Linked DNA regions of Oryzias latipes. The protein of the gene in region 5 binds, or shares a complex with, the protein of the main gene of each other region. Links are inferred from orthologs where the notes say so. Each region holds a gene or a part of one and is shown on either strand. Other genes may lie near its edges.

What was found.
Region 1: THO complex subunit 4 (region 5) and thoc6 share a complex: the UniProt entries of both Homo sapiens proteins name them as parts of the transcription/export (TREX) complex. The link is inferred for Oryzias latipes from reciprocal best matches to the Homo sapiens genes ALYREF and THOC6.
Region 2: THO complex subunit 4 (region 5) and eif4a3 share a complex: the UniProt entries of both Homo sapiens proteins name them as parts of the ALYREF/THOC4-EJC-RNA complex. The link is inferred for Oryzias latipes from reciprocal best matches to the Homo sapiens genes ALYREF and EIF4A3.
Region 3: THO complex subunit 4 (region 5) and thoc1 share a complex: the UniProt entries of both Homo sapiens proteins name them as parts of the transcription/export (TREX) complex. The link is inferred for Oryzias latipes from reciprocal best matches to the Homo sapiens genes ALYREF and THOC1.
Region 4: THO complex subunit 4 (region 5) and thoc5 share a complex: the UniProt entries of both Homo sapiens proteins name them as parts of the transcription/export (TREX) complex. The link is inferred for Oryzias latipes from reciprocal best matches to the Homo sapiens genes ALYREF and THOC5.
Region 6: THO complex subunit 4 (region 5) and thoc7 share a complex: the UniProt entries of both Homo sapiens proteins name them as parts of the transcription/export (TREX) complex. The link is inferred for Oryzias latipes from reciprocal best matches to the Homo sapiens genes ALYREF and THOC7.
Region 7: THO complex subunit 4 (region 5) and rbm8a share a complex: the UniProt entries of both Homo sapiens proteins name them as parts of the ALYREF/THOC4-EJC-RNA complex. The link is inferred for Oryzias latipes from reciprocal best matches to the Homo sapiens genes ALYREF and RBM8A.

What each region holds. Positions count from the first base shown.
Region 1 is NC_019866.2:286,797-289,443, forward strand, and holds part of thoc6 (THO complex subunit 6 homolog), read right to left. Parts: intron 1,814-2,647; coding exon 1,765-1,813; intron 1,686-1,764; coding exon 1,614-1,685; intron 1,553-1,613; coding exon 1,450-1,552; intron 1,378-1,449; coding exon 1,328-1,377; intron 1,238-1,327; coding exon 1,175-1,237; intron 1-1,174. UniProt on the Homo sapiens protein: Component of the THO subcomplex of the TREX complex which is thought to couple mRNA transcription, processing and nuclear export, and which specifically associates with spliced mRNA and not with unspliced pre-mRNA.
Region 2 is NC_019859.2:158,191-162,253, forward strand, and holds the start of eif4a3 (eukaryotic initiation factor 4A-III), read right to left. Parts: upstream 2,801-4,063; 5' UTR 2,698-2,800; coding exon 2,544-2,697; intron 1,670-2,543; coding exon 1,597-1,669; intron 1,524-1,596; coding exon 1,457-1,523; intron 1,374-1,456; coding exon 1,311-1,373; intron 1,229-1,310; coding exon 1,096-1,228; intron 1,031-1,095; coding exon 950-1,030; intron 1-949. UniProt on the Homo sapiens protein: ATP-dependent RNA helicase. Involved in pre-mRNA splicing as component of the spliceosome. Core component of the splicing-dependent multiprotein exon junction complex (EJC) deposited at splice junctions on mRNAs.
Region 3 is NC_019875.2:28,356,448-28,360,552, forward strand, and holds the start of thoc1 (THO complex subunit 1), read left to right. Parts: upstream 1-1,305; 5' UTR 1,306-1,341; coding exon 1,342-1,389; intron 1,390-1,596; coding exon 1,597-1,670; intron 1,671-1,743; coding exon 1,744-1,804; intron 1,805-1,880; coding exon 1,881-1,950; intron 1,951-2,220; coding exon 2,221-2,339; intron 2,340-2,419; coding exon 2,420-2,468; intron 2,469-2,546; coding exon 2,547-2,642; intron 2,643-2,747; coding exon 2,748-2,830; intron 2,831-2,907; coding exon 2,908-2,981; intron 2,982-3,084; coding exon 3,085-3,193; intron 3,194-3,253; coding exon 3,254-3,388; intron 3,389-3,602; coding exon 3,603-3,703; intron 3,704-3,793; coding exon 3,794-3,860; intron 3,861-3,996; coding exon 3,997-4,047; intron 4,048-4,105. UniProt on the Homo sapiens protein: Component of the THO subcomplex of the TREX complex which is thought to couple mRNA transcription, processing and nuclear export, and which specifically associates with spliced mRNA and not with unspliced pre-mRNA.
Region 4 is NC_019867.2:13,553,733-13,557,845, reverse strand, and holds the start of thoc5 (THO complex subunit 5 homolog), read right to left. Parts: upstream 2,801-4,113; 5' UTR 2,669-2,800; intron 2,469-2,668; 5' UTR 2,437-2,468; coding exon 2,338-2,436; intron 2,167-2,337; coding exon 2,023-2,166; intron 1,706-2,022; coding exon 1,592-1,705; intron 1,334-1,591; coding exon 1,236-1,333; intron 733-1,235; coding exon 586-732; intron 514-585; coding exon 399-513; intron 323-398; coding exon 190-322; intron 1-189. Other genes in the region: tfip11 (tuftelin-interacting protein 11), read right to left, coding at 3,199-3,545, 3,671-3,836, 3,950-4,092. UniProt on the Homo sapiens protein: Component of the THO subcomplex of the TREX complex which is thought to couple mRNA transcription, processing and nuclear export, and which specifically associates with spliced mRNA and not with unspliced pre-mRNA.
Region 5 is NC_019866.2:15,369,837-15,374,037, reverse strand, and holds the start of THO complex subunit 4, read left to right. Parts: upstream 1-1,401; 5' UTR 1,402-1,548; coding exon 1,549-1,788; intron 1,789-3,138; coding exon 3,139-3,297; intron 3,298-3,382; coding exon 3,383-3,530; intron 3,531-3,624; coding exon 3,625-3,688; intron 3,689-3,779; coding exon 3,780-3,960; intron 3,961-4,043; coding exon 4,044-4,058; 3' UTR 4,059-4,201. UniProt on the Homo sapiens protein: Functions as an mRNA export adapter; component of the transcription/export (TREX) complex which is thought to couple mRNA transcription, processing and nuclear export, and specifically associates with spliced mRNA and not with unspliced pre-mRNA.
Region 6 is NC_019863.2:16,703,394-16,706,964, forward strand, and holds thoc7 (THO complex subunit 7 homolog), read left to right. Parts: upstream 1-1,169; 5' UTR 1,170-1,189; coding exon 1,190-1,277; intron 1,278-1,501; coding exon 1,502-1,622; intron 1,623-2,048; coding exon 2,049-2,176; intron 2,177-2,268; coding exon 2,269-2,355; intron 2,356-2,449; coding exon 2,450-2,507; intron 2,508-2,596; coding exon 2,597-2,663; intron 2,664-2,766; coding exon 2,767-2,836; exon of another isoform or gene 2,837-2,913; coding exon 2,914-2,975; 3' UTR 2,976-3,071; downstream 3,072-3,571. Other genes in the region: interferon-induced GTP-binding protein Mx, read right to left, coding at 3,382-3,571. UniProt on the Homo sapiens protein: Component of the THO subcomplex of the TREX complex which is thought to couple mRNA transcription, processing and nuclear export, and which specifically associates with spliced mRNA and not with unspliced pre-mRNA.
Region 7 is NC_019874.2:29,126,567-29,130,849, reverse strand, and holds the start of rbm8a (RNA-binding protein 8A), read right to left. Parts: upstream 2,801-4,283; 5' UTR 2,793-2,800; coding exon 2,732-2,792; coding exon of another isoform or gene 2,726-2,731; intron 2,212-2,725; coding exon 2,152-2,211; intron 2,073-2,151; coding exon 1,995-2,072; intron 1,429-1,994; coding exon 1,292-1,428; intron 1-1,291.

The DNA.
Region 1 (2,647 bases), about 15 Mb from region 5:
CAGATCATCAAGTTAATGAAATCTGTGTCCAAACCAACAAGTAAACTAGAATGAATGTCAAATCCATTCACATGTTAGTTTCCTAAAGTTCACCACTGTTGTTTTTCCACATCCAAAGAATCCAAAGGGAACATTCTTAGAACATTCTAGACACTGGATGGTCACATGACTTTATTCACAGTCTGTCCACACATTGGACTGGAATGATGGACTATTCTGTGTTGATGACATCACACGTGTGTCGTCTGCTGTGATTGGTCGGTTTTATCTTCTAGTAACATAAACCTGCAGTACCTCAATCGATGGTATCGTCCGATATCGATTATTGATTTATCCGTTTTTAAATGATTTTTTAACGGTCAACTTGCTTCACACTACTGCCTACCAAGGTAGCGGTCTCCCTGTGCCGGTCCCCAGCCCAGGTAGAACACGGGGTTGTGACCTGAAGGACTCTGCCTGACCACCTGTGCTGATCTGACTGCTGATTGGCTGTGGCGACCAAGCTGGCAGGTGAACAACAGAACAACCTCAGAACCTCTGACTGAGGAAGACTCCTGACAGAGGAAGACTCCTGACTGAGGAAGACTCCTGACAGAGGAAGACTCCTGACAGAGGAAGACTCCTGACAGAGGAAGACTCCTGACAGAGGAAGACTCCTGACAGAGGAAGACTCCTCGGTGAGGAAGACTCCTGACTGAGGAAGACTCCTCGGTGAGGAAGACTCCTGACTGAGGAAGACTCCTGACTGAGGAAGACTCCTGACTGAGGAAGACTCCTCGGTGAGGAAGACTCCTGACTGAGGAAGACTCCTGACAGAGGAAGACTCCTGACAGAGGAAGACTCCTGACAGAGGAAGACTCCTGACTGAGGAAGACTCCTGACTGAGGAAGACTCCTGACTGAGGAAGACTCCTGACAGAGGAAGACTCCTGACAGAGGAAGACTCCTGACAGAGGAAGACTCCTGACAGAGGAAGACTCCTCGGTGAGGAAGACTCCTGACTGAGGAAGACTCCTGACTGAGGAAGACTCCTCGGTGAGGAAGACTCCTGACTGAGGAAGACTCCTGACTGAGGAAGACTCCTGACTGAGGAAGACTCCTGACAGAGGGAGACTCCTCGGTGAGGAAGGGCTGGGAAACGTTCCCAGTGACCCGAACGCCTCCAATCTTCTTACCATCCAGTCAGAGTCGGTGGTCAGGCAGCTGATCCATTTTCCGTGCTGGGGCCGTGCGCACACCTGAAAGACGTGCACGAGGATCAGAACCCGTCCGTCAGCCTGATGGATCCGAGCCCCCCCCCCTCCCCCCGCCAACCCCCCAGACCTCACCTCGTACTTGTGGACCTCCAGGCAGTGAACGCACCGCCCGGTCCTGCTGTCTGCAGAGCGTCATCATCATCATCATCATCGTCACTAAAGGATGAAGCTCAAAGACGGCAGCTGTCACTCACCCCACATCCTCACCACTCCGTCCTCTCCACCCGACAGAAGCTCCGCCTCCCGCTCTCTCATGCACAAGCAGTGCACGTAATCCGTGTGTCCGTGAAGGACCGCCTACAGAAACACAGGTGAGGAAGATGGAGCTCTGCCACGAACACACAGCACTCGAACGCACCTTAAAGACGCCATGTTCCAGGTCCAAGACGTGAATGTTGTTGTCTCCGCCCCCCAGCGCCAGACTGTTGTCCTGATGACACACACGCGGAATGCTTGGTGTGAGTGTGTACATCAGCATGTGCACGTGCGTGTAGTGGCGTGCGTCTCACCCGTGGGTTGAACGCCATGGCGTTGATCTCTGGGATCTCCAGACTGGAGCTGCAGGAACAACACGGGTGGTTGTGCAGGTGTGCGTCTGTTTGTGTGCGTCTGTGTGTGTGCGTCTGTGTGTGTGCGTCTGTGTGTGTGCGTCTGTGTGTACGCGTCTGTGTGTACGCGTCTGTGTGTGCGTGTGTGTGTGCGTCTGTGTGTGTGTGCGTCTGTGTGTGTGTGCGTCTGTGTGTGCGTCTGTGTGTGCGTCTCTTTGTGTGCGTCTGTGTGTGTGCGTCTGTGTGTGTGCGTCTGTGTGTGTGCGTCTGTGTGTGTGCGTCTGTGTGTGTGCGTCTGTGTGTGCGTCTGTGTGTGTGCGTCTGTGTGTGTGCGTCTGTGTGTGTGCGTCTGTGTGTGTGCGTCTGTGTGTGCGTCTGTGTGTGTGCGTCTGTGTGTGTGCGTCTGTGTGTGTGCGTCTGTGTGTGTGCGTCTGTGTGTGCGTCTGTGTGTGCGTCTGTGTGTGCGTCTGTGTGTGTGCGTCTGTGTGTGTGCGTCTGTGTGTGCGCGTCTGTGCGCGTCTGTGTGTGCGTGTGTGTGTGCGTCTGTGTGTGCGTCTGTGTGTGTGCGTCTCTTTGTGCGCGTCTGTGTGTGCGCGTCTGTGGGTGCGCGTCTGTGTGTGCGCGTCTGTGTGTGCGTCTGTGTGTGTGCCTCTGTGTGTGTGTGTCTGTGTTTGCGTCGGTGTGTGCGTCTGTGTATGTGCGTCTGGGTGTGCGTCTGGGTGTGCGTCTGTGTGTGTGCGTCTGTGTGTGTGCGTCTGTGTGTGCGTCTGTGTGTGCGTCTATGTGTGCGTCTATGTGTGCGTCTGTGTGTGTGCGTCTGTGTGTGTGCGTCTGCGTGTGTGCG
Region 2 (4,063 bases), on a different chromosome or scaffold from region 5:
TGAAGTCTCAGAGATGTCAGGTGCTCCAAACCGGAGAAAGGCTGCTCCTGATTTTTGGTCCCTGAGACCCAGAAGCATCTCCGTCTCTGAGGCCGGCCCCAAACCTCTCAGAGAGCTCGTAGTTTAGGACGGTCTGCCAGAACTTCAGCCATGACGGCGGCTTTGACTGACCAGGGTCATTCAGGAAGTGCAGTCACGCCGGAACTCAACTACAGCATTCCCATCGCGGGAGTTGCCTTCTAAAATAACCGGCCACAGGTGAAATCCACAAGCTAGCTGTCAACATTTCCAGACTTTTCTCTTAAAGTTCAAGCCTTCGTAGAAAAATCCGTCCAGGATTCTAGAATGAAAAAGATCTGATGGCGACGAAGAGCAAAAACACCAACAGCCAAGCAAAGATGTGTGGTGGTGAGATGAAGACCTCCCCATGCGCTACAGAGACCACCACCCCCACCCCCCAAAAGCTCTGCTCCCCCACGAATCTGGAATGTTAAAGCAGAAATCTGAAACCATTCTCTGCAGTGACACTAGCAACACTACAGACATGAATTTAAAGTTCTGACCCTGCTAGCGGTTCTGCTGAAGATTCTGCTGAAGGTTCTTCCTAACCTTCACTTAGAACATCTCCATGTCACCGTTAAAATTCACTGAAGTGTTGCTTTAAACGTCCTAAACAGGAAGTGGTGACATCGCGGCCCGATGGCGTCAAATGGACTTTTCAAATCTGACACATTAAGCCGAAAACACGACCACTGAAAGGAAAGGTGACCTTCAAGTGTGTCTGGAACAGGTGGTTCCAACCTGGAAGGACCAACCCTTCCTGCTCCTTCAACACATTTCAGACGTAACCAAAGGTGCCAGAGTTATTCTGATGACCAGCAGGTGAGCTTTCAGCTCAGACAGAGCTGCTTTGCAGGTACAGAAGACGCTGAACAGCAGAGGACCTCACCTTTGTTCAGCATCTCATCAGCTTCATCCAACACCAGCATCTTGATAGCTCTGGTCCTGAGACTGCGGCGCCGAATCATGTCTGTAAAGAGACGCCGTCAGCATTCCCGTTTGTGCCACTTTTGCCATAAAACCCATTGAACCCACCAAAAACCCGTCCAGGGGTGCCAGCTACCACGTGCTGGCCGTAGTCCAGCTTGCGAATGTCCTCGCCCACGTTGGTTCCTCCGATGCAGGCGTGACACTGAACGTTCATGTAGTCTCCCAGAGCCAGCAGCACCTGCACACAGGACACCGTGACTGGCACCGCCGCCTCTACCTTACAAGCCTTTGGCTGAACATGGCGGTGGAGGCGGGGCTACCTTCTGAATCTGTCCGGCCAGCTCTCTGGTTGGAGCAAGAATTAGAGCCTGGGTCTCCCTGACCTGCAGAAGGAACAGCATCACCACCGAGCTGCAAACGGGTTCTGGCCCGTCTGTCACGGGACACAAGAACAGCAAGAACTCACCTGGATGTCCAGACACTGCAGGACGGAAATACAGAAAGTGGCCGTCTTTCCTGTTCCAGACTGGGACCTGAATGCAGCACAGATCACACGTTACAGCATGGAGGACCAGAGCACCTGCATGTTTTCCAGCCCAGACTTACTGAGCGATGACATCTCTGCCTTTGATGATCTGCTTGATGGCTCTCTGCTGAATGGCTGAAGGCTTCTCGAAACCTGTAACAGAACCAGAACCTGGTCAGGTGCTGTCCATCTTCATTTCCACATAGAGAAACCTCATCTGAGAAGTTCCCATGCTGCTCAAACTGAGGGGGACCAAAGTGGGAAGTTCTGGTGATGCTGACCAGAAAGAAAAGTTTTAGTCCCACAGAAAGGATTTCTATGGAGAAACTGGGTTTTAGGGGTAAAGAAGGATCCTCTCAAGCACAATAGTCCAGGAAAATGTAGAGAATTCATCTTTATCAGTGCAACACTTCAATATTACTGTAGATACAAATCTGATCGATTCTGTCTATTGGGATTTCTCCCGTCCTTTTGGGTCCAGATAATATGTTCATAAAATGTTCTGCCGTCTGGAGAAGACAGAACACATGAACAGAAACAAAATTAAAATACACATTAAGACAGAAGTGTTGACATATATTTATTAATAGTTCTGGGGGAAATTAGTAAAATATTCGCTACATATACGAAGCCATATAGGATGGGAACCGTCTAACTCCTGGATCATGACTGTTACGAGCAACAATACCAACAAAGATCGTGTCCAGGCATTACTGAACGAAACCCGCAAATTTTAGTATCTGGTTTTCGTTTAGTAAATAATCAACACGAATTTAAACTAATTTCATGTCAGCGCGGCCGCACGCGGCCTTAGCATGCTAGCATGAAGGCTAAAAAGATGAAGTTTTTCTTCCCGCCAACGACAAAATGATCAGGTCACACCAATCTACCCGCTTTAATGTAAGTTATTACGGGATGTAGTCTGATACCAACTACGTTTTCATTCCTTTTTTAAGGTGAACTGAACCACACAGCGGATTTAGGCTTAGCATCTGGAGGCGGAGGCCTCTCGAATCCACCGGCCTACCGTAGGCGTAGATTCCCCGGAGCAGGTCCTCACGGAGCCCCATGGTGTCGAAGGTAGGGGTGACATCCACCTCTTCACTGGTTTCAAACTCCACCTTGGTCATGTCCTCCTCCTTCAGGAGTCTTCTCCTGCCCGGTGTCCCAGCAGCGGCCATGACGGTCGTGTCTGTCTTCAAAACGAATCGGTAGTCTCCGCAAAAGGGGGGTAACCGCTTTGCTAGCTACTAACAGCGCTCCACGTGTCGCTCTGCTTACGTCATCAGCAGGCGACCAGGTTTATCAGGCGGAAGAGCAATTGTTTTTCGTTTGGAAAAAACATTTGAGGTTTACAATATTGTGGCAGCTGTATAAAGTGTCAAACCACAATTAAAACAGATGTAACCAACTTCCTGGATCTTTTATTTTGGGAGAGGTGTGTCCCTCCCGGGTTACCCTAATTGACCAGCTGGCCAAGATGTTGTTGTCCCATGGGGGGGGAATGGGATGACCATTTGAAATCTGTTGCTTTTGCTTACAACATCTCCAAGCACACCAGCACACGGTTTACTCCCTTTTATCTTATGCACGGGCGCGAAGCCCGGACCCCGGCAGAGGTTCTCATTCCTAGTGGGGTTGGTGGCATTGGCAGTGCAGCCACGCTGCCTTTATACGCGTCGTCTCTTGTGGAGCGGCTGGAGATTGCTTTCAGTGCAGCGAGGGTTAATGCAGCAGAGGCGCAGGAGAAACAGAAACTGTACCATGATGAGAACTCTCACCACAAGGGCTTTACAGAGGGTGCTCTGGTCTGGCTTAATAACCCAACAGAGGGCCGCACAAAACTAGCACCGCACTGGAAAGGTCCCTATCGTGTGGATCGGGTTCTGGCTTCAGGTGCAGAGGCCGCTTTGACATATCGCATTGTCAACCCCCTGGATATGTCTGAGCGGGCCCAGGTTGTTCATCATGACAGGTTAAAACGTTACACTCTTCCCCTGCCTGCTGGTTCCCCAAACGACAGTATGTCCACCCCGCCATCATCCTCTCCTTCGGCGGGTACTTCATTGGACCCCCCAGATAATGGTGATCCACCCCAACAGGGTCAGAGGGACGCGTTTGGGACAGCCCCTGCACACTCCCGCAGTGGCAGAATGGTGCGTGCTCCAACACGTTATCAGGACTTTATTAGGATGTAACAATACAGAGTTATGTCACAGTGAAATTTTTGTTGGTGTTGTGAGGAGACTGTCATATGTTGTTGTGTTTTCCTTCCTTGAAAGATTCTGTTGAATAATATGCTGTTGGTTGGCAGGCAATGTTGTATTATTATTCAGATTTTTTTTTTTCCTCTCCCTCCTGTGGTGGGAAATTTGCCGGTGGGTTCTGTAAACTCATGTTGTTCCTGTTTGGTTGACTTTTGTTGACGCCATATTGGGTCTCGAATGTTTATTTCTTAATTCATTTATTTTATTTATTTTTTTGCACTCCCCGGCCTGTTGCATTTCCTGTAGAAATTGTAGAAATGAGGACATTTCTTTTGAAAGG
Region 3 (4,105 bases), on a different chromosome or scaffold from region 5:
AGACACAAATTATATTTGTATTTTACTGTTGCAATTCTTTTCTTTGGAAATGAAGTCTGCAGTCGACACAAATTATAGGTCTTGTCCTGTGAAACCCACTTTACAAAGTGCAAAGTTAAATGATTGCCATCACACTGTAATGGGCCAGTGCTTCTAATGTGCAATGTGACGTTGTTCAACAGTAGATTTCATCAAAGCATTCCAGCCCTGCAGCACTGTACTCTGTAATGTACGCCCACAACATGCAGAAATGTTCCCCAGTGCAGACAGACATACATAGACCACACTAATCGAACACCGTGACCTCTCCAAAACCAGTGCTATGTAAGTATGAATGACACTGAGCTTTTTCCTAGTGCACAGGTCTAACTAAATAAAAAAATTGTAACTGTACAATTCAGTTTAAAAATGGATTTAATGTTTCAGCAATGCAATTGAATTAAAATTTACTTTATTAAAATAACAATTGTTAAAGTTTTATTTCAGCTTAGAAGAGAAAGAATACACAAATGATTACAAATTTCTAAAATATTTGATTTATCCCACCATTATTCAGTGACACCGGTCACCAGCAGATGAAACGTAGCTTTGTTTCAAACTGGATGAAGGGTTCAGTAGTTGAAAGAACAGTGTGCAACACTGCCCCCGTGAGGTCAAATGTGGAAGTGAGGCAGCTTCCCCCAATCTCACTCTGAGGTCAAATTATGAGAATTATCGAACACACGCGGATCTTTGGCTCATTGTCGCAACTTTATAGCACGTGTTAAGACGGTATGATAAAGTTTTATTCAAAAACATGTTTCAAACAGCAGCACAATTTGGTGGTTTTAGGGCAAAAAAACACATCAGTGTAATTTCTAAATCCCTTGTTAGAAAACTAACAAAGATGTATTCCTCAAAAGATAGAAACAAATGCGAACTACATTTTTAACATTTATTCTGAACTTTATGTATTAAAAATACAATTTAAAATTGATCATTATCTGTAAGCAAAAAAAAAAGCTTTAAAAAGTTCACAATGACGTTTTTTTTCAAATATGATTTTTTTTTAAACACATGAATTAAAGAAAGTGAAAAATTACAAATGTGGAGATTGGCAAACCTGTACAAATGTGGTATTTACGTCGCCCTAAGTATTAATTTTAGGAAACCGTCTAAAGTTGTCATCAATTATGTATGTAAATATTTAATAAATGTTTTTTCCGTTTGCATTATATATTGTATTTATGTCTACATTTTATTTTGTAATTTTTGTAAAATAATTTTTAAAAAAATAACGGGAGGGAGCGGTCAGAAAGACCGGAAGTACTTCTAGGTGCACTTCCTGTTGCAGCAGTAAAGATGTCTCCGTCCTTGTTTAATTTTGTCGATGTTAAAGACAAATTTACGGTGAGAGTTTGCAGGATGAGTTTTAATCATTAGGCATGCAAACACATAAATATATATACGGTGGATGTGATCAGAACGGTGATAACTTAAGTAGTTTTTTTAAATTAATTTTCTGTTTTGTTTTTCTACATTAGCTGTTAGCATAATGCTAACGTATTGAAAAGAGAGACGTTTTCTTTCGTATTATTCTCACATTTTCGTCCTCAGGTTGCTGCCAGACACGCCCTAACGGGTAAAACCTGCAAACCTTTGGTCACATCGTTTAACCAGATCCCTGGGAAGTAAGTCTACATCACTTCGACTTGTTATCAATTGTAATTTTTACCTATAACGAATCATTGACGTGTGTTTCAGTGAAACGGAAAAGAAAACAACTCTTGATCAGGCTTTGAGGGGCGTTCTTGGAGATCAGATTGTAAGCTGTTTCTTTAAAATTATCCAATGTTCTGCATTTGTACGCAAAGCTTAAAGGCTGATCGTTTCTTCTGTAGGTTGAGCAGAAGGCCAGCTGTGATGACTACCTGTCTCTCATCTACTTGAGCATCGATGCGGTCACAGAAGGTGTGATGCTAATGCAGAAAGTTGAACCGTGTCTTTTATTTAAATACAAATGAACAGGCCCTTTTTTTTTTAGCTGTTATTATTTTGACTTTAATATCTTGTTCATGTTTATATAGCAGAAATAGTCCATTTTAGCCACTCTTGTTTCGGAACTGTTGTGTTTCCGGGACGTTTACGGTACTCTATTTCAAAAGAAGTTAGTCTTAAAATCAAAACAGTGTAAAGTCTCGTCTTCAACCTTTTTTCTTCGGTGTTTTCTTGTTTTTGCAGGAATCTGCTCCGCTACAACGCCCTTCGTCCTGCTGGGAGACGTACTAGACTGCCTTCCACTCGATCTGTGCGACAAAATATTCTCTTTTGTCGAAGAGAACGTCTCCACTTGGAAATCTGTAAATAACTTACCCCCCCAAATGTGAAATATTGGTCTATCTGTCATGTAATATTAAATAGTATTTTTCCTTTTTTCCAGAACTCCTTCTACAGTGCAGGAAAAAACTATTTATTGAGGATGTGTAACGGTAAAATCTCCTCCATGTCTAATGTTATTCATCATTTCAAATTTGAGCAGTGAGTGACGAACTTTTCGGACCCTTTAGATCTTTTGAGGAGACTCTCCAAATCTCAGAACACGGTATTCTGCGGGCGAATCCAGCTGTTTCTTGCGCGCCTCTTCCCTCTGTCAGAAAAGTCAGGTGAGGACCCCAGCAGGGGGTTTGTTGTTCAGTTGTTGGGTGTTGACATCAAAGATGACATCTTAGATTGGAATTTTTTGTTTGTTTGTTTTTTTTCCCATCTAGGTCTTAACCTGCAGAGCCAGTTTAATTTGGAAAATGTAACAGTCTTCAACAAAAATGAACTAGAAAGCACTCTTGGCCAAAAGGTGGATTTTCTATACCTGAGGATTGATTCCAACAGTTTGGGTTGACTGATGACGGTTTTTTTTTCATGTTTTTCCAGAGCACAAATGAAAAGGAAGAAGGCATGGAGGTGGAAGAAGGAGAAATGGGGGAGGAGGATGCTCCTGCTCAGAGGTTTGTAGTAAAATGTTACCGATCCTCGTACAAACTTCTGATTTGCTCTTGACACCAAATGCTCCTCGGATTGAAAAGCTGTTCATCAAAATGTCGATTTCAGCTCCATTCCCATTGATTACAACTTGTACCGAAAGTTTTGGACGCTGCAGGACTACTTCAGGAATCCTGTGCAGTGCTATGACAAGTTTCTGTGGATGACGTTCCTGAAGGTAAAGTTCCTGAACTTCAGACGTATGCATGTGGCGAACCATAGCTAACCTCCTGGTCAGTTCTCAGATGAGACTCTAGCTGTGTTCAAGAGCTACAAGCTGGACGACATGCAGGCCTCCAAGAGGAAGCTGGATGAGCTGAGAGGATCTGATGGAGAACATGTTTACTTTGCCAAATTCCTCACCAGTGAGAAGGTGGGAAACTTTGTCTTTTATCAGCATACGTTTCTGTTAGAAGTCATTTTTAAAAGTATTAGATGTTTGTGGGGTCATGGGTCTGTTACCAGAGGGGGGAAAGGGTGGGCTTGTCTATGTTTTTAAGCCGCATAATGCAGGAGAAGCACTTTTCATGAGTAAATTGTGATCTGGATCTGACTGCTGACTGTTGTTCCTCTCCTCCTTCTTTCAGCTGATGGACTTGCAGCTCAGCGACAGTAATTTCAGACGCCACATCCTGCTGCAGTACCTCATCCTCTTCCAGTACCTGAAGGGCCAGGTCAAATTCAAAAGGTTCAACCTGAGCACAAATGTAACTCGACGTTGAAAAATCTGCATCGTCATGTTGGGGAAATAGAATCCTTTTTCATCTTTATCCTGCAGCTCCAGCTGTGTCCTTAATGACGACCAGACCACCTGGATCGAAGAGACGACTAAACTGGTTTATCAGGTCAGTTGAGGAGGAAAAATGGGGAAATCTTTTTATATTTATGAACTTTATAATTTATAGTTTTGAATGTAAACTGTTGAGGTCTTGAAAAGTCAAAGAAAAGGGGATGATGGAAGCCTTTTCTTTGGTTTTGTAGCTGCTGAAAGAAATCCCTCCTGATGGAGACAAGTTTGCCAGCATGGTGGAAGTGAGTCCACATCATATCCAACCGGTCAAGGTTTTGGGTCTCTGTACATTATTCTAAC
Region 4 (4,113 bases), on a different chromosome or scaffold from region 5:
CACACAACAAACAGTTTTAGTTAGATTTCGTTTTTTATAAAACTCTCGTTTTTATTTTTATTTCAGTTAATGAAAATGTTTTTTCAGTTCTAGTTTTAGTTTTTTCGTTCGTTTTCGTTAACTATAATAACCTTGCTTACAACTCATATTGACATTTCGGCTATTGTCCCTACAGAGAAAATTGCTCACCACAAGCCTGGCTGTAAGCATTCGCTTGAACGAACAGCACATAAAGGGGTGGAGGAAGGTGGCGGGCAATCTCGGTCTGTTTCTGAGTTTGCTCAAACGGCATGGACAAATACTCCTGCACTGGGATAGACGCCTGGGAGAAGATTTAGAAGAATATTAAAAACTAAAAACTTAAGATCAAGTTCAAGTTGAGCTTTATTTTTTAATACCTGCATGATAGCATTAAGTCCCGGCTGCAAACTTCTCAGATGCTCCTTCTTCACCTCAATGCTCTTCTGGATTTTCTCCTTTGTAGACTGAGACTCCTTATATTTCTCTGCCAATCTGTATCATACAGACGTTTTAGCACATATCTATTTCAGGAGAATGAAAAACAGTAACAACAACAGAGCAAACCTCTTCCTCTGTTCAAGCTCCCAGTCCAGCCGGGCCAGTGTGAGCTGGTGTGGATCGTCTTTTGTGAGCTGAGGCCTGGAGATCTCTTGAGGAGCATCCCGGTAAAACTCCTCCTCACTGACCAAGTCTATTTCTTCATGCTTTGACCTGAGGCAAAAACAAAAGGATATTTTTAACCCAGGGTTGTTTCTAAAACTACTAACATTGTTGTGCCATGTCAATAAAAACAGAATAAACAGGTCAAATAATTAAAAAGCATACATTTTTTGTCGGAGTGGTGGAAAAGTCACAAAGTTTTAAGCGCTTTAGAAAACAATAAAGAAAAGAAATTAAGCAATCTGGATAAAGTCCTAGAGAAGACACAAACTAAATTGGTTCGTCTTTATTAACTTTCACATAAATATGCCCCCCCCCCCGGGTTATCGGCTCTTTAAAAGACTCAGTTGCAACACCAGTAGAAAGCAATTTCAGGTCAGCAACTTAAATATTGTGATTTTATTCCTTCCTAAAGCAATTAAAGAACTAGCAATGTGAAATAAGTGAACAATCTAGTATTTTTCAGTACATACATTTGCAAAAATGTAATCAGATAACAAAAAAAGTGGTTTAATTTTGTGTTAGAACCAGTTAATAAATTCGGAAGGACTAACTTGAACTCCAGACATTTGCTGATCTCCTTCTGAAGATGCATGACTTCATACAGCAGGTTTTGCAGCTGAAGGTGCAGCACATCCACCTTCTGTTTTGCCTAGGAAGACGAAAAATCAACGATCAGGCATTGATACAATGGTAACATTTTAAACACAGTTAATATTTAAACAAGTTGGCAAACAAGACAAGGATTCGACATACAAAAGACCAATAACAAAAACATATAGCATAGTGATCAATCAAGACACACAATAAGAGTGACATTATCGGATGATAAAACAATTTTTGAGTGCATAAAACAACGTTCACATTTCTCTTAAGACAGCAATGCATTACAGAGACGTGTGGAAGTTACCTCGTGCGTCTGGTCTCGTCCTCTCTTTAGCCGCATGTGGGCCAGGCGGTTGAACTTCTTCAAGGTCATGAAGAGGATGCAGCTCTGCATGCGCTTCTGCTCAACCTCGGCACACTGAAGCAAAAGAGAAAACACAATTATTTATTAAAGACGGGGCTTACAATGTAAAGTCCCTTCACCATGATGGTGTATCTGTCAAAAACATGACATTAGAGACATTAGATCATATTTATTGGCAATGAACACTTGGCAATAACTGATAACACTTTGACCTCAAAAATGTCATAACTACTGCAAGCTTGATGATTGTCAGAGTTCAACTAGATACTTTTAAATAATTATTTACCTTACTTTACTTTCTATGCTAAGGCTGATGAAAATGATCATTTGGCAGGGACATTGGCGTGAACTGTAAAGTTGAAAGAGCATACCCCCTCTTTAGCTCCATTAGCTTTAAGCTCCTGGATTTCACTCATGAGAGAAGCCAGAGTCTCACAGGACTCTTTAAACTGCAAGTAGTCGTGTTCAGGCTCCCTGCCGTCCAACTCCACCTCCTCATTATACACGCGAACATCCTAAAAAAAGAGAGACATTATTGTATTAAAACTCTTATCTATGAAGAATGTCACTCCACAGATTTATAACACTACTACTTTACTGTGATCGCCATTATAATAATAACAAAGTATAATAAATATACTTTGTAATAACAAAGTCAGAACTCGTGAGAAACACTGGTTGGGTACCTGCTGCTCGACCTCCCCTCGGCCTCGCTTCATCTCAGTGGTTCCCCCTTCGTTACGAAGAACCTTCGACTTGCGTTTCTTTATAGAGTCAGATGACATGGCTGACTAAATGTAACTGCACACTTATAACTCTGAAAAATAACATATGTATACATAGATGTATATAGTGAGAATAAAACAACTTCGATCGACAAAATATGCTAGCATGCTAAACTGTTAGCACCATCATGGCCTGTGACTAATAACGGCTCACAACCGCTAGCTTCTACGTCCACAATATCAATTTACTGTTTTGTTCTTATTTTCTGCATTTGAAAACTTGCTTGCGTACCTTATAAGCGGAAAGGTCCACGTTAAGAGGCTAAATTACGAACAGGCAGATGTTATGGATCGCACAAAGCCTTTCAACGGAAGCCGAAATGACTGAAAATCAATGGTAATCGCTACACTGCCCCCTACGGTTCCTCTTGGTATTACTAATACTGGCTTGATTAAAAAATAATCTCCGCAATTTTTTAAACATTTTATACAGTGAACGTAAAATTGTCGTTAAAATAAGAATGTATATATTTTTTCAACACAGCAATATTTTATAAATTAATTTTAAGTTGGTGTGCAAATCAGTGAACATACATATCCCCAAATAAGAATAATTAAAAAACAAACCTCCACAAATATTTTGTATCAACATATCTATTTTTGGGTACAAAGGACAACAAGAAAGACAACATATAAACAGAAATAATTTATTTACAAATATCACATTAAAAACTACATCTAAAGATACATGAAATGAACTGGTTTATTTTTTTTAAGACAAAAATAAAAGCACCTGAAAACAAAATATCTTTTAAGGTACATTTATTTTGCCATATCTATCAGACTTTGCAAAGATGTTGGCACCCAAGTCTTTTCCCCCTGCACAAACACAACACCTCTGTCTATGTAAATAACAATGCGGCCAAATGTGTAGAGCTGTTTCCCCTCGTGCCGTTTGGCCACTATGGGCATGAAAACAATGTTGTTTTCCTCTGCTTTGGCCTGAATTAGATCCTTAAAGTTAGTTGGCACACCAGAACCGATGCCTCTTTGAGCAACACTTTCTGCATCCCGGCGCTCTTGCAAGGCTTCATACTGGAAGTCTTTCCGTCTCTCCGTCTGTGTGAGATAGGCAATGTTCTCTCTTGCACCAGGCTGCATATATCCACCTGTGAAAAGGAATAACGGACTCAACATAAGTGAAGCAAAGATCTCTCAAACTTTGCTTTTATAGTTTGAATTAAGGTAGATCTTTGGTTTTCATATTTATGAAGTAGACTGTGTGTACACAAACCCATTCCTGATGACACTGCACGGTTCATGATGTCCAAAGCCTCATTAAATTTCTCTTTAATGAGAGGTTGAGTCAACAGAATGTCACTAAACAAGCCTTTCCAGCCGAGATACCACTTTGTGATTTCCTCGTAGTTAGGACTATTGCTCAGCCATGAACACAAAACCTAAAAGCCAAAAATAAAAATAAAAAATACAGCAATTTCAGAGGATTTATTCAACCTATATATTTAAGAAATACGCTTTACGTATTTTACTATTTGTTATGACATTCACATACCTGTAACCATTTTGGGAAAAAGTTCTTGTCAAAAAGGGACACAAGACTGGAGGGAGACAACATTCCCTCCCAGTCCATCACCCAGTGAAACGGCTCCATCTGCTGCTGGTGCGGGTTGATGACCAGCTCTTCCAGACATAAAGCTTTGGCAGGAAAGAGAGATT
Region 5 (4,201 bases):
CAGTAGAATGATCTCAATGGATATCCTCTTAGTGGGCTTGTTTTGGAAACCAAAATACAATGTGGAAGGCCAACATTTTTTTTATTATTATTATTATTATTATACATTTTTCTTGCCCTGGGATGGACATTGTTGAGTAGTGAATGCAGGAATGCAGCTCTTATCTCCTTCCTCTAAGCCTTGGAAGCAAAATGTTGAATAAAAGACTTTTACAGAACTTCTGCTTGGTTTGACACTCATGTATGTTTGTTATAATACAATGAACAGTAATCAGTGTTAGGCTGTTTTTTTCCTCGGAACAAACGTTAGCTAAAAGTATGGAAAACGATCATAAATAAGAGGTTAAAAACTCCCCAGTATATCCCCCACCCCACTAAAATTCAGCTATTTTTAAATATACATAACTGTATTTGTAGTTTAGCTTTACAGATTGATTATATCTTTGATTTTCACTTTTTTTACACCCACAATTATTAGGAAAGTAATTCTTTTGCTTTTTTTATTAATAACAGCAATACCAGTTTTTTGTTATTTCTTTATAATAACGTGCAATTAACAGAGGTAGAGTTTACAGACAAACAGAGCCATGTAGCTCAGAAACAATCAATGTAGGAAAGGTTTCAATAAAAGAACAAGAGGGAAACTTTCTTTTTTGTTTGTTTTCTAATTAGGTGAAGAAGTTGTTGGTCTTAAAAATACTACTACCTTCAAATCAAAACAATAGAGTTGCATTTATATTTGTTATTTACATATTTCAAATGAATGTGAAGGAAGAATACAATCATGCATTCTCGTGCAGGGTGCTTTTTTAATCCTTATTGTAGTATGAAGAAGAGCAAAATTTTGAATAATACTTTGAATTGCTATCTTTTTATGCAAAATTAATCTTTTGAGATCAAATTAATTTCAACTTCTTAGCAGATTTGCTGACGTGTCTCATCAAAAAGAGATCCAATTTGTATTTATAATATGCATATTGAGAGTTCAGGGTGTTGTCCAATTTAAGCATTCATTATAATAACGTTTCTTGATCAAACTAAGAAAGTTTTCTTTAGGTCATAGTCACATCTAAATAAAAAATCAATTCAATACAAATTTCATTTGAAATATGAAACCACATTTTTGTTTGTTTAAAGAAGTGCCTTAGCCTATTTGTTTTCAATGTAATTTAAAGTCTAAAAGTATTTTTTTTTATGTTATTCAGTTTCGTTATAGAGATATAGTTAAAAGTGTTTGATTTAATGCTTTGATTGCTTCTTTTAGTGTTACTATGAACTGAACACACCCATGTATGGCGTTTTTTAGGAATAATGTTTTAGTTTCCAGTAGAGGGCGGTAAAGAGTTGTTGTAGTTTTTAACGTAATGACGTCAAGAGTACGTGTTCTCCAACCAATCAGCTTTTCTACAGCTTGTGGGCGCTTTTCATTGTGCTTAGTACTTGGACCAGAGAGCGTAAATCTACGGACGAAGAGAGGGAACAGCTTAGTCCAGGGTGTTTTAAGACAATTTAAATCTTTACAGTGCTTTAGAGTTATCGGGGCAGCATAATGGCGGATAAGATGGATATGTCTCTAGACGACATTATCAAGCTGAACAGGCAGAGTAGAGGCGGAGCCCGTGGGGGAAGAGGCCGAGGCCGCGGAGGCTCAGGCGGTGCCCGTGGAGGAGGCCTTGGGCGTCTTGGTGGTGGCGGCGGCGGATTTGGAGGCCGAGGCGGAGGATCAGGCCCCATGAGGACCCGACAGAACCTGAGCCGCGCTAGAGGCAGACCAACGCCTTATAGCAGGGTATGAGAAAGTTAGACGAATGGGCATTGGAAGGAAAAAAACCTTCGTCAAAGCTGAAAATTCCTGGTTTACGTCTTCTTTTCTCCATTTGGCTTGACGGCTAATCACCTAGCTAGTCAAGCCATTAAAATGGTTGCTTACCGCTGAGTTTCCCTTAGAGGAGAGCTCTATAGTTTGTGGATAAGCATAAATGGAGGTTGTTTGCATAATATGTCCCTTCTCCCACAACCTATATGTGTCGCACCACTTTTCAAGAAGAAGCTGCTTGAGGAGCGACTATGTTAGCCACATTGGCTAACCTGCCGGATCGTGAAGGTCTCAGCGCCATTTTGAATCCAACAACCTCGAATACAATTTGGCGTCAAAATGATGTTTTACCCCAAGTGTCGTAATGGTCTGGAAAGAAAAGGATGCCTACATCGCTGAGAAGGTTCCTGCACGTTTTTTCCATTGCTACGGAATCACATTCCTTCCAACGTCCTGCTACATCTTCAAGGCGGCCTTTTGTCCCAGGAATGGCTGACGGGGTTTCTTAAAATCCCACCCAAAAGGCTTTTCACCAAATGTCACATATGGATGGATACGTGGACTCATACTTAATCCCCTCAAATTTCCTTTATTTTTTTTTTTTTTTTTGTAAAAAGAAGCCCAATCTTCACTCCTGGGGTGTGAATGAATATAAATGCAACCCAAACAAAGCCCCGATCAAAATGGCGTGGTTTCAAAATGGACGTCCGCGTACTCCACGCACTAAAAAGGGGGCTATCGGCTTCTTTCCCCCCAAAATGTTCTTCACCTGTAACATCCTAAAGACATTTCTTCATGAAAGTCGAATTGTGGCCTGACAAAGGACTGTTGTGAGCCTGGACAAGCGGCGCAACGCGGGATGCGAGGCTGCTTCTGCCGGGGACCCCCCCTCGTGTGCCTGAGGAGCATGTCGACAGACAGAGCAGTTGGTGGAGTAGCAGATGGCAAGAAACGACGGGGTTATGCTAGCTAGTTTGGGGCGGATTTTTGGTTCATGTAAAGATTTTTTAAAGTTAATGTATGAAAATGATTAGTTTAAATATCTGTCAGCTTTTTGTCTTACTTTACAAGTAGTAAAACATTGAAATTTTCTGTATCAAAACACCAAAATAGCTATTTTTAAATTTGTGTATTTCTGTCTGAAGTGATTCACGTGATTGTAACGATGGGGTGGGCAGGGATCATGGGGGGGTCTGCTGAGCACCCTGGCCGTGTTGGAAGTGGAGCACCTGCTTGCACCAACACCCAGCCGTGTGGACTCTGTGAAAGACAGAGGCAGGGGATCCTGAAGTCAGCAGGTGCGTTCTCTTTCGTCTGTTGCAGCCCAAACAGCTTCCCGATAAATGGCAGCACGACATGTTTGACAACGGCTTCAGCGGCTTCAATGGGGCTGCTGGAGGTGGCGGAGGAGCTGGTGTGGAAACGGGAGGAAAGCTCCTCGTCTCCAATCTGGACTTTGGGGTGTCAGACGCAGACATCCAGGTACAACTTAGCTAGCATATCTGATGGTGATGTTTTTTTTTTTTAATTGATGACTTAGTTTTGACTTTTTTTTTTTTTATCGAAGGAACTCTTTGCTGAATTTGGGACTCTAAAGAAAGCTGCAGTTCATTACGACAGATCAGGAAGAAGCCTTGGAACGGCAGATGTCCACTTTGAAAGGAGGGCAGATGCCCTGAAAGCCATGAAACAGTACAATGGCATTCCTCTTGATGGTATTCTTCTACTTTATTACAGATTTATTTAATTAGATAAATACATTTAAATATTAGTTGATCTTCCCAAGATTAAAGCCTAATTTGTGTTTAGGGCGGCCTATGAACATTCAGCTCGTCACATCACAGATCGACACACAGAGGCGGCCTATGCAGGGGTAAGTAAGCATGGATTCTTGGGAAACTGGAAACAGGCTGTTGTGTAAACCCCAATTACATTTTCTTTGTGTATTTGTTTTGTTTTACCAGTATGAACAGAGGTGGTGGAGGCATGAGTAGAAATCGGGGTTTCGGAGGGATGCAAAGAGGCCGAGGGGTCCGTGGTGCAGGTGGTCCCAGAGGAAGAGGGCGGGGGGGGCGCGGCGGTGCCCCCAAGCAACCGCTATCGGCAGAAGAGCTTGACGCCCAGTTAGATGCTTACAATGCCAGGGTACATCTGTCAAAATAGAAAGCATCTTCTGTTGAAGTTGTTTTGCAGCTGTCCTAATTCTGTTTCACCTCTTGTTTTCTCAGATGGATACCAGTTAAGGAAACCTCCCATCCTAGTTGACGTCATCCCTCCCTGTCTGCACAGAAAGGGGTGCTTGTTACAGATGTGCAGAATATTTTACACTTGTCTTCTGATGTGATTGAAATTGTTCCAACCTCTTCTTTTAAATACTCCAAAGTGT
Region 6 (3,571 bases), on a different chromosome or scaffold from region 5:
GTTAACCTCTGATTTCTAATTGGCAAACTGCTGAAAGTTTGTACTGTTTTCCTGTAAATCTAATATACGCGTGAACCTTTGTTAAATAACAAAACTCTATTTGCCCACACGGCTGGTGTTCTGGTGAGAAATAGAGCACATTAAGTTTCAAACAAGTTTCATTGTAATTTTCTAAGGTGTAGGAACAAACATGAAATCAGACCTGAATTGATCTGTCAGAAAAAAAACGAGGAAGTGGTGACCAAGAAAATATGTTGGCCAAATGAAAACCTGTTTAAATCTATAGTTGAAGCAGGTATTGTACCTATAACCGTACCAGTAACATTACTATTTATGAATTATTATAAATGGTGAAATTAAAGCTAGATAGAAATCTTTGTCCTCAATAGCCACTTAGTAGCTAAAGGTTCTTATAGAACAGAGGTCTGCAACCTGAGGCTCCGGAGTTACATGCAGCTCCTTTATGATTCCATTGTGGCTCTTTGGTTTTGAAAAAAAAACGCTAACGATTTGAGTTACTAATAATGTTTTGGGGTTGTTTTTTTTTTTTTTTAATTTATTTATTAAACTTTCTTTTATTTGGATTCTGCTCCAATGTTGTCATGTTAATATATGACTATAAAAGTAGAAAAGAACGAATATGCAGCAAAGTCTGACTGATAGAAAAGTCTATGTTTGACCTGACTTTCTTACATGTTTTATTCAAGTGAGTCTGTTGGAGGATTTAATTTGACATGAGGTTTATTTCGTTTGAAAGGAACCTATATATGCTGCTGTCAAAAGTAAAGGAAGTTAATATTTTAATAGAAAGAAAATGATAAAACTTTCATAATTCAATTATTTTAATATCTAAATGCTACATGGTAAAAATGAATGGTTTAATGGTAAAACAAAATATGTAATGTGCCATTCTCGATTGATAATTCAGCTTGCAATTTAAGCATTCAATCTAAAAAATGCATTTTAGAATTTAAAATTCAATGTGTAATGCTACAATGTAAGCTGACATTTTTAAAAGCAAAATGTTAAATAAAACAAAATCAATTGTATTCTAAACTGTCATTGGTTTTTAGTCCAATAATATTCTGCAATATAATAAAAGTTCAATTTTGCTGTTGAGTCTAAAAAGCACAAAAATGTGGGAAAAAAATTGCCACATTGAATGTCCACCAATAGGGGGCAGTAGAAAATGAAACCGCTGATTTTAACCTGGAAAAAGAATCTTGCTCTACCGGAAATAGTATTGCTCATTGCAAACATGGGGGCCGTAACAGATGGTAATTTGGTGGTTACTTCGTTTAATATAAAGTTTTATTAAAAATAAATAAAGTGTTTATGTGTTAAGTTATTGTATACAATAGCTTATTTCTAGAATGTAGCAGTGTTTACGCAATCAGTTGGGAGAACTGTGCAGCTAATTTATTGCCCTGCAGTGCTAGCTCAGATTAGCAGGTTGCAATCTAGCCTATAGTTTATCTTGTCTCTTTCGTTTCTGTTAAAGATGAAGTCATTCGGAAACGTCTTCTTATTGATGGCGACGGAGCCGGAGATGACCGCCGGATCAACCTGCTGCTTAAAAGCTTCACTAAATGGTGCAACTCGCCCGGGACTCCGGAGGAAGGGTCAGTGCTGAATGAATCTGAGTCTGAGCTGACGCATCAGAAGATTTACTTTCCAGATTTTAATGTGATTTAGCATTTACGAACAACTCTTCTTGCGAAAGAAAAGTCACATTAGTTAGTTCTTACGTTGTGTGTACAGGCAATTCCAAGCTAGTTTATCAAACTCCATAGAAGGTTAACGGGTCTCAGTTGCATGCAGTTATACTTACCCAAGGAGAAGAGTAACTGTCTTCTCTACAATCTATGGCAAGCAGAGTGTGACACACAGCACAATGTTTCAACTCTGACCATGCATTTCAAAAGGCTGTTTCTATACATTTCCATGATGTGTTTTTATATACCCGAAGAGTAGAATGGTGTCTTCCTTGTTAAATATGCAACAAAAAATCTCACTTTAATTCCTTGTGGTCTTGTGTTTGCGTGTAGATTCACACAGTACCAGCGGATGTTGGGCACTCTGGCTCAGTGTGAGTTTTCCATGGGAAAGACGTTGATGGTTTATGACATGAATCTTAGAGAAATGGAAAACTATGAGAAGATCTATTCAAATATAGGTGAGGTTTTATTGCTCTCGTCTGGAAGCATTTCTGTTTACAATATTAGATTTCATCTATATACCCCCCCCCCCACCCTCCCCCCATTGCAGAACAAAACATCACATCTGCACATGAGAAGATTGCAGAATGCAAAAAAGATATTCAGAGGGCAAAGAGGATACGAAAAAATCGCCAAGGCAAGGATATTTTGATATGGATTGCATATTTTATTTATTGTCCTTTTTCAATAACATCCTTGGAGTATTATAAATATGTTTGTATTTTTTCCAGAATATGATGCATTAGCCAAGGTAATCCAGCAGCATCCAGATAGGCATGAAACACTCAAGTAAGTGGCTCCGTTAATTCAGATTTTCGATTGCTTGTAAACAGCGTACAACAGTTTTGCTTCATTTTTATTTATTTATTTTCTTTCAGGCAGCTAGAGGCGCTTGACAAAGAGCTCCAACAACTGTCCCACATCAAAGAGAATGTGGATGCAAAGGTATATCCAAACAGAATTTATGCAGCTTCTGTGTATTTCGCTGATGATTTGATTTATTTTAAAGTTGTTGTTTTTTTCTATCAAATTTACTGTTCCACCATAGTTGGAGTTGAGGAAGAAGCAGTTCCACGTTCTTCTTACCACCATTCAGGAGCTACAACAGACACTTGAGAGTGAGCACTTTATTCTTAATGCCAACTGATTTTAAAATTGTTTCAAAAAGTTAAACTCAAAATTTGTCTTCTTTTAGATGATGAGAAGTCAGATATTGAAGATGCCAGTCAAGAGAGCCCTGCAGGGAACAGTGAATAACAGTGGAACAGAATGAAATGTTCTTAAATGAGTTTGGGTTTGTGAGACAGAATGCTTTTCGTATGTATTTTTGAATAAAATTCTCTTGATTCTGTCGCTCTGTCTGGTTTTCCCTTTTATTGTTTCAAATAAAAATAAAAAAATCAAAGTTCACAGACTGATAATAATTTCCCTCTATATATATGCCCAAATAAAACAATGAACATAAAAACATGCTCCACACTCGAGGTGATTATAACAATATATAAAAGGAAAACATCTGTGTGCCCATATAATGACTTTTGCTGCTGTAAGATAATCATTCCTGTTAGAAACAGCAGATTCTACTGGACTACCCAAACACAACAACTGAACATTTACACTAACATGTAATTTGGAGATGCAGAAAACAGATCCTTCAAAGTTTTTAGAACTCTACTAGGTATGCACGGGCCTGCAAAAGGCGCTTAAGGCGATTCTGCAAAGTAGCCCTCTTACTGCCGATGTCAAAGTCCTCCTTCAGCAGGAAATCCAAGTTCTCCTTGTCCTGAATCATCTGCAGCATCTCTCTCTGGAGCTGGCTGGCTGATTGTTGCAGCATTTCATAACGGATCACC
Region 7 (4,283 bases), on a different chromosome or scaffold from region 5:
ACAGGTTTAATGTTCGATCTAATGTCAAGACAAGATGTGTTTCAGTTCTTGACGTGAAATAATGGAAGGAATTGAGCGATGAATTAAAATGACGTAATTCTCAGTTAAAAGAAAAAAAGTCTAAAACATATTAAAGGTTACAAAACACAGATGTAGAAGGACTTTGTTTACTTGTCTCCATTTATTAAGGACTGTTTCCTACTTTTTGGTTTGTTAAACTGATTAACTTGGACATTGAAGGACAGGCATATAATAAGCTTCATATGCTTCTGCCTATTTTTTTAATTAATTGTTTATACTGTATGTTAGGTAAACAATGCAAATGACAAACTAAACTAAACCAATAAAACCAAAGCAGACATTTCTAAATACTCCAGTGGAAAAGCCGGGTCTGTTCGGATGAACACAGAACTGATATCCTGCTAACGGAAAACATTTTTTTAGCCCAATTAGGTGAAATGGAATTTTTTTCCAGTTATAAACTGGTTGAAAAACACTGCACCAAAAGAGAAAAACATATTTTTTTTGAGTGAAAATACAGTGACAGTCAGGCTTTAAGTATCCTCAGACTCGTTTTAAAACTGAAAAACAACCCTTTGAAATCTGACAATTATTATAATACAGTTCTGATCACAAAGTGCAGATGTCAGACGGTTTCCTCCTTCACTGAGCAGACCGTGAAGTAACAAACTGCAGAAAGGTCAACCCTCTTCTTCTCACGGCCCCCCAAATGCTTTTCTCATCCATTTTTGTGTCGTGCAGTTAGACCAGAATTATGCCAAAGCTTTTATTTTGGTGGAAAAGTCAAAGACTCAACACTGAGCATTTTAGCCTTTAGTGGCGGCCAAACACCAATAAGACGGAAAGAAAATCCCTCAGTAATAATAAAGCCGAAATAGTTTGTTTTTCATACGACTGTTCTTAAATATCAGCTTCACTTCACAGAAACTAAAGTGCTGCTACAAAAGGGCAGTCCAGGCTCTCTCTTAACCCCTTCACGCAACTGTTCTGAGAACACAACAGCCTTATTTTAGCAACCAACTTTCTTTTCTACAAGTATTATAAAATATATGATTAAATCCTACTGAATGAAATCTTCCACATCATTAATATGATGACTTCCATCCTTCCCTCTGATAATTACTGCCTAAATGCTTGTTTTTAATGTTGATCAAATATTCACTTCTTCCGCTTAGATGTTCATTGGAACATAAGCAACATTTGACATCCAAATGTTGTGTCTTTAAAATACAAAATGTGTTCAAAGAAAAAGGAAATGGTTTAAACTCACCTTCAGATAGCCAGTTCTGCGATCCAGATTAAGATGGAGGTTCTTGATTTCCCCAAACTCTGAGAACTTATCGTGGATGTCTTCCTCTGTGGCCTCCTCGTGCACGCCCGTCACAAACAGGATCCAGCCTTCTACAGCTGCAGAGAGGGGAGGGAACAGGGCATCAGACACCCAAACCCCCCAGTCTCCACACCAAGACAAGCAGATGAGTTTACCTGACCTGCTGGCATTCACGCAGTTTCAAAAGTAAAAGTCTGCATTGTTTCAGAGCAGTTTTTTAGTTTTTGCATAGGTCAAAATTAAAACGCAGCCGTGAAACTGATTTATAACTTTTAAACAATGAACTTTAGGTTAAATTAAATTAGTTATCTGCAGCTGTGATGCAGAGGTAGACCTTCAATCAAAAGTTCAGTTCCTGCCTTGCCTGCCCATGTGTGGACGTGTCTTTTGGGCAAGACACTTAAACCCCACAACGCTCGTGGGGGTTACAGGCTGTGACTGTGCATGGGACTGGGACTTTCAAGCCCTTAGTGGCTTAGTAAAGGTAGAAAAGCACAACATTGACCATTTATTCTATAATCAAATTAAATAAATAAAATAAAAAAAAATACACACAAAGATCTTAGATTTTTTACAATCTAAGTGTGACTACAGCTTGTTAATTTGCTTCTATCTGAACATGAAGGTCACTTGTAACACCTACATCTCTGAGGCCCAGGCTCATCTCCGTCCTGTTCCACAGTATCATAGTCCTCTTTGGCTCTGGACCGGGCCCCATCATCTGGAATCAAAAACTTAGAATCAAAACCAAACCCTAAGAAGTCAAGAAAAATAAAGGGAAAAATGCTTTGAAAGCTCACCTGCACCAAAACCTCGTCCTTTCCTCTTCTTGGCTTTCTCCTTTAACTTGTGGATGCTTTCTGCAAACAGACGAATAAAAGCCTAAGGACGCCGTTTTCAGTTTCCTTTAATTCACAAGAGTTTAGTTTATGAAGTTCTCAAATGGAGTAACTATATGTGTTTTTGGGTTGTTTTTTTAGGAACAATGTGCAATTTTTAAATCGACGTTTTTTCTCTCATCTGCGCAACACTAACAGCATGTAGCCGTTGGCTAACATGGATGCTAGCGCTAGCTTAATAGAAAACAAAACAGCTTTAACGTGCAGAGAAAAATACAGTCCGTTTAAATAATTAACATTTTAAAAGCGGCCCTCGCAAACACAGACGGCTGCACCCCCGCTGAGAGGCTCGCTAAGTGGATGAATGACCGCCTTTCGTTGAGTTAGCTGGATGCTAACACGGCTGCGGCCCGCTAACAAACACGCAGTCTGGGCTGAGCGTGATTCTGACCGCACGTGCGGCTATTTGAATTTCATTATTTGGCTGGCAGGACTGCGGTGCGTCCGCCTCTAATTGTGTAAAACAACGCAATACCGTCACCATCCTCATCCATAGGAAAGTCTTCTCCTCCCGCCTCATGAAGGTCCAACACGTCCGCCATGATGTCTGTTTGACTGAGTACGAACAGCGCATGCGCACGGAGAATCACTAAAGAGTCTGAGTACGTAACTTCCGTAAAGATTTTTTTTTAAACTTTATTGTACAAAACGTAAGTAAGTTTAATACAAAACACAATTTTGCTAAGTAAACTTCAGATATGCCAGGGTAGCATACATATTACAGGAGTTTTAGATAAAAAAAAACATTCAGATTTCAACAACTTTCATACAAACATGCAGCTTTCTGATTAAGACTTTTGGAGATGTTACTGAGATACATTTAAATTTGTTTGATTAATAACACAGGGAAAAAATAGGAGATGAAGAAAATTTGCATTTATTAATATAAAATTAGTCAAATATAATAATAAGATTAATAATGAGTTTTTATTTGAAAATGAAATTTTTGTTATTAATTTTTAGTGCAGAGTTTTATTATAATATTCATGATTAATATCACATGTGTTACTGGTAAAAATGCATAATATTAAACGATAATTTATGTTTTAATAATCATGATTTCTAATTTATCCCTTATGAAATAATTTACATTTATCATCATGAAAACTTTTTATTTTTGCAAAGCATTTTAACTGAAACTGCTTTCATTGGGCTTGAGATGATTGTTTTACGTGGTTTGTGCTTTTTATCTTTTATGTTTTTATATGTATATATATATATATATATATATATATATATATATATATATATTTTAACCTGTGATCTTTGTCTGTGAAAGGTGCTATGCAAATAAAATTTACTTACTTACTCAATCATGATATTAATAAATAATCATGATTTTTTATACTTTAGTGTGGACAATTTAATGCAATATAATTAATGATATATTTGTTATTAATAGCATTGTTAAAATTTCCATGCCATATATTTTCAAGAATTGAAAATTGTTGTTATCTTGGTATTATATTTAGTGTCATCACTGATATAATGAGAACAATGAGAAATGTATACATTTGTTTTAAACATTAGTGTCAACATTCACACAACAAAAATATGATTTAAAATACTTTATTATACTGCAAGGGATAGCATTTCTATTATTAAAATTGTGACTATACTTGTTATTAATATTAGAGTTGCAATTTCTATCATAATTATTATTAGTACATTCTGTGTTAATATTGATGTCAAGGTTTTAGAATCAGAATCATCTTTATTACTAATAAGAGCATGACTGCACATGTAAGGCATTTGACTGTAGTGTTGTCTGCAAACTTCAAGAGTTTCACAGAAGTTTATATTTGTGATTGATACAATATTTGTGATTTACACGACTGTTTACATATTTATTAGATTAATCATTACTTAATTAATTGTAATATTATTTTCATTGCTACAGTCAGAACTTCAGCTTTCTGGGTGAAATAGTTTTTACCATCATCTATTTTTTTATCAGGAGGAGGAATGATTAAAAAAAAAAAAATCTTAACAACTGTCATGCATATAAACAAATAATAATAATAAAAACCTAA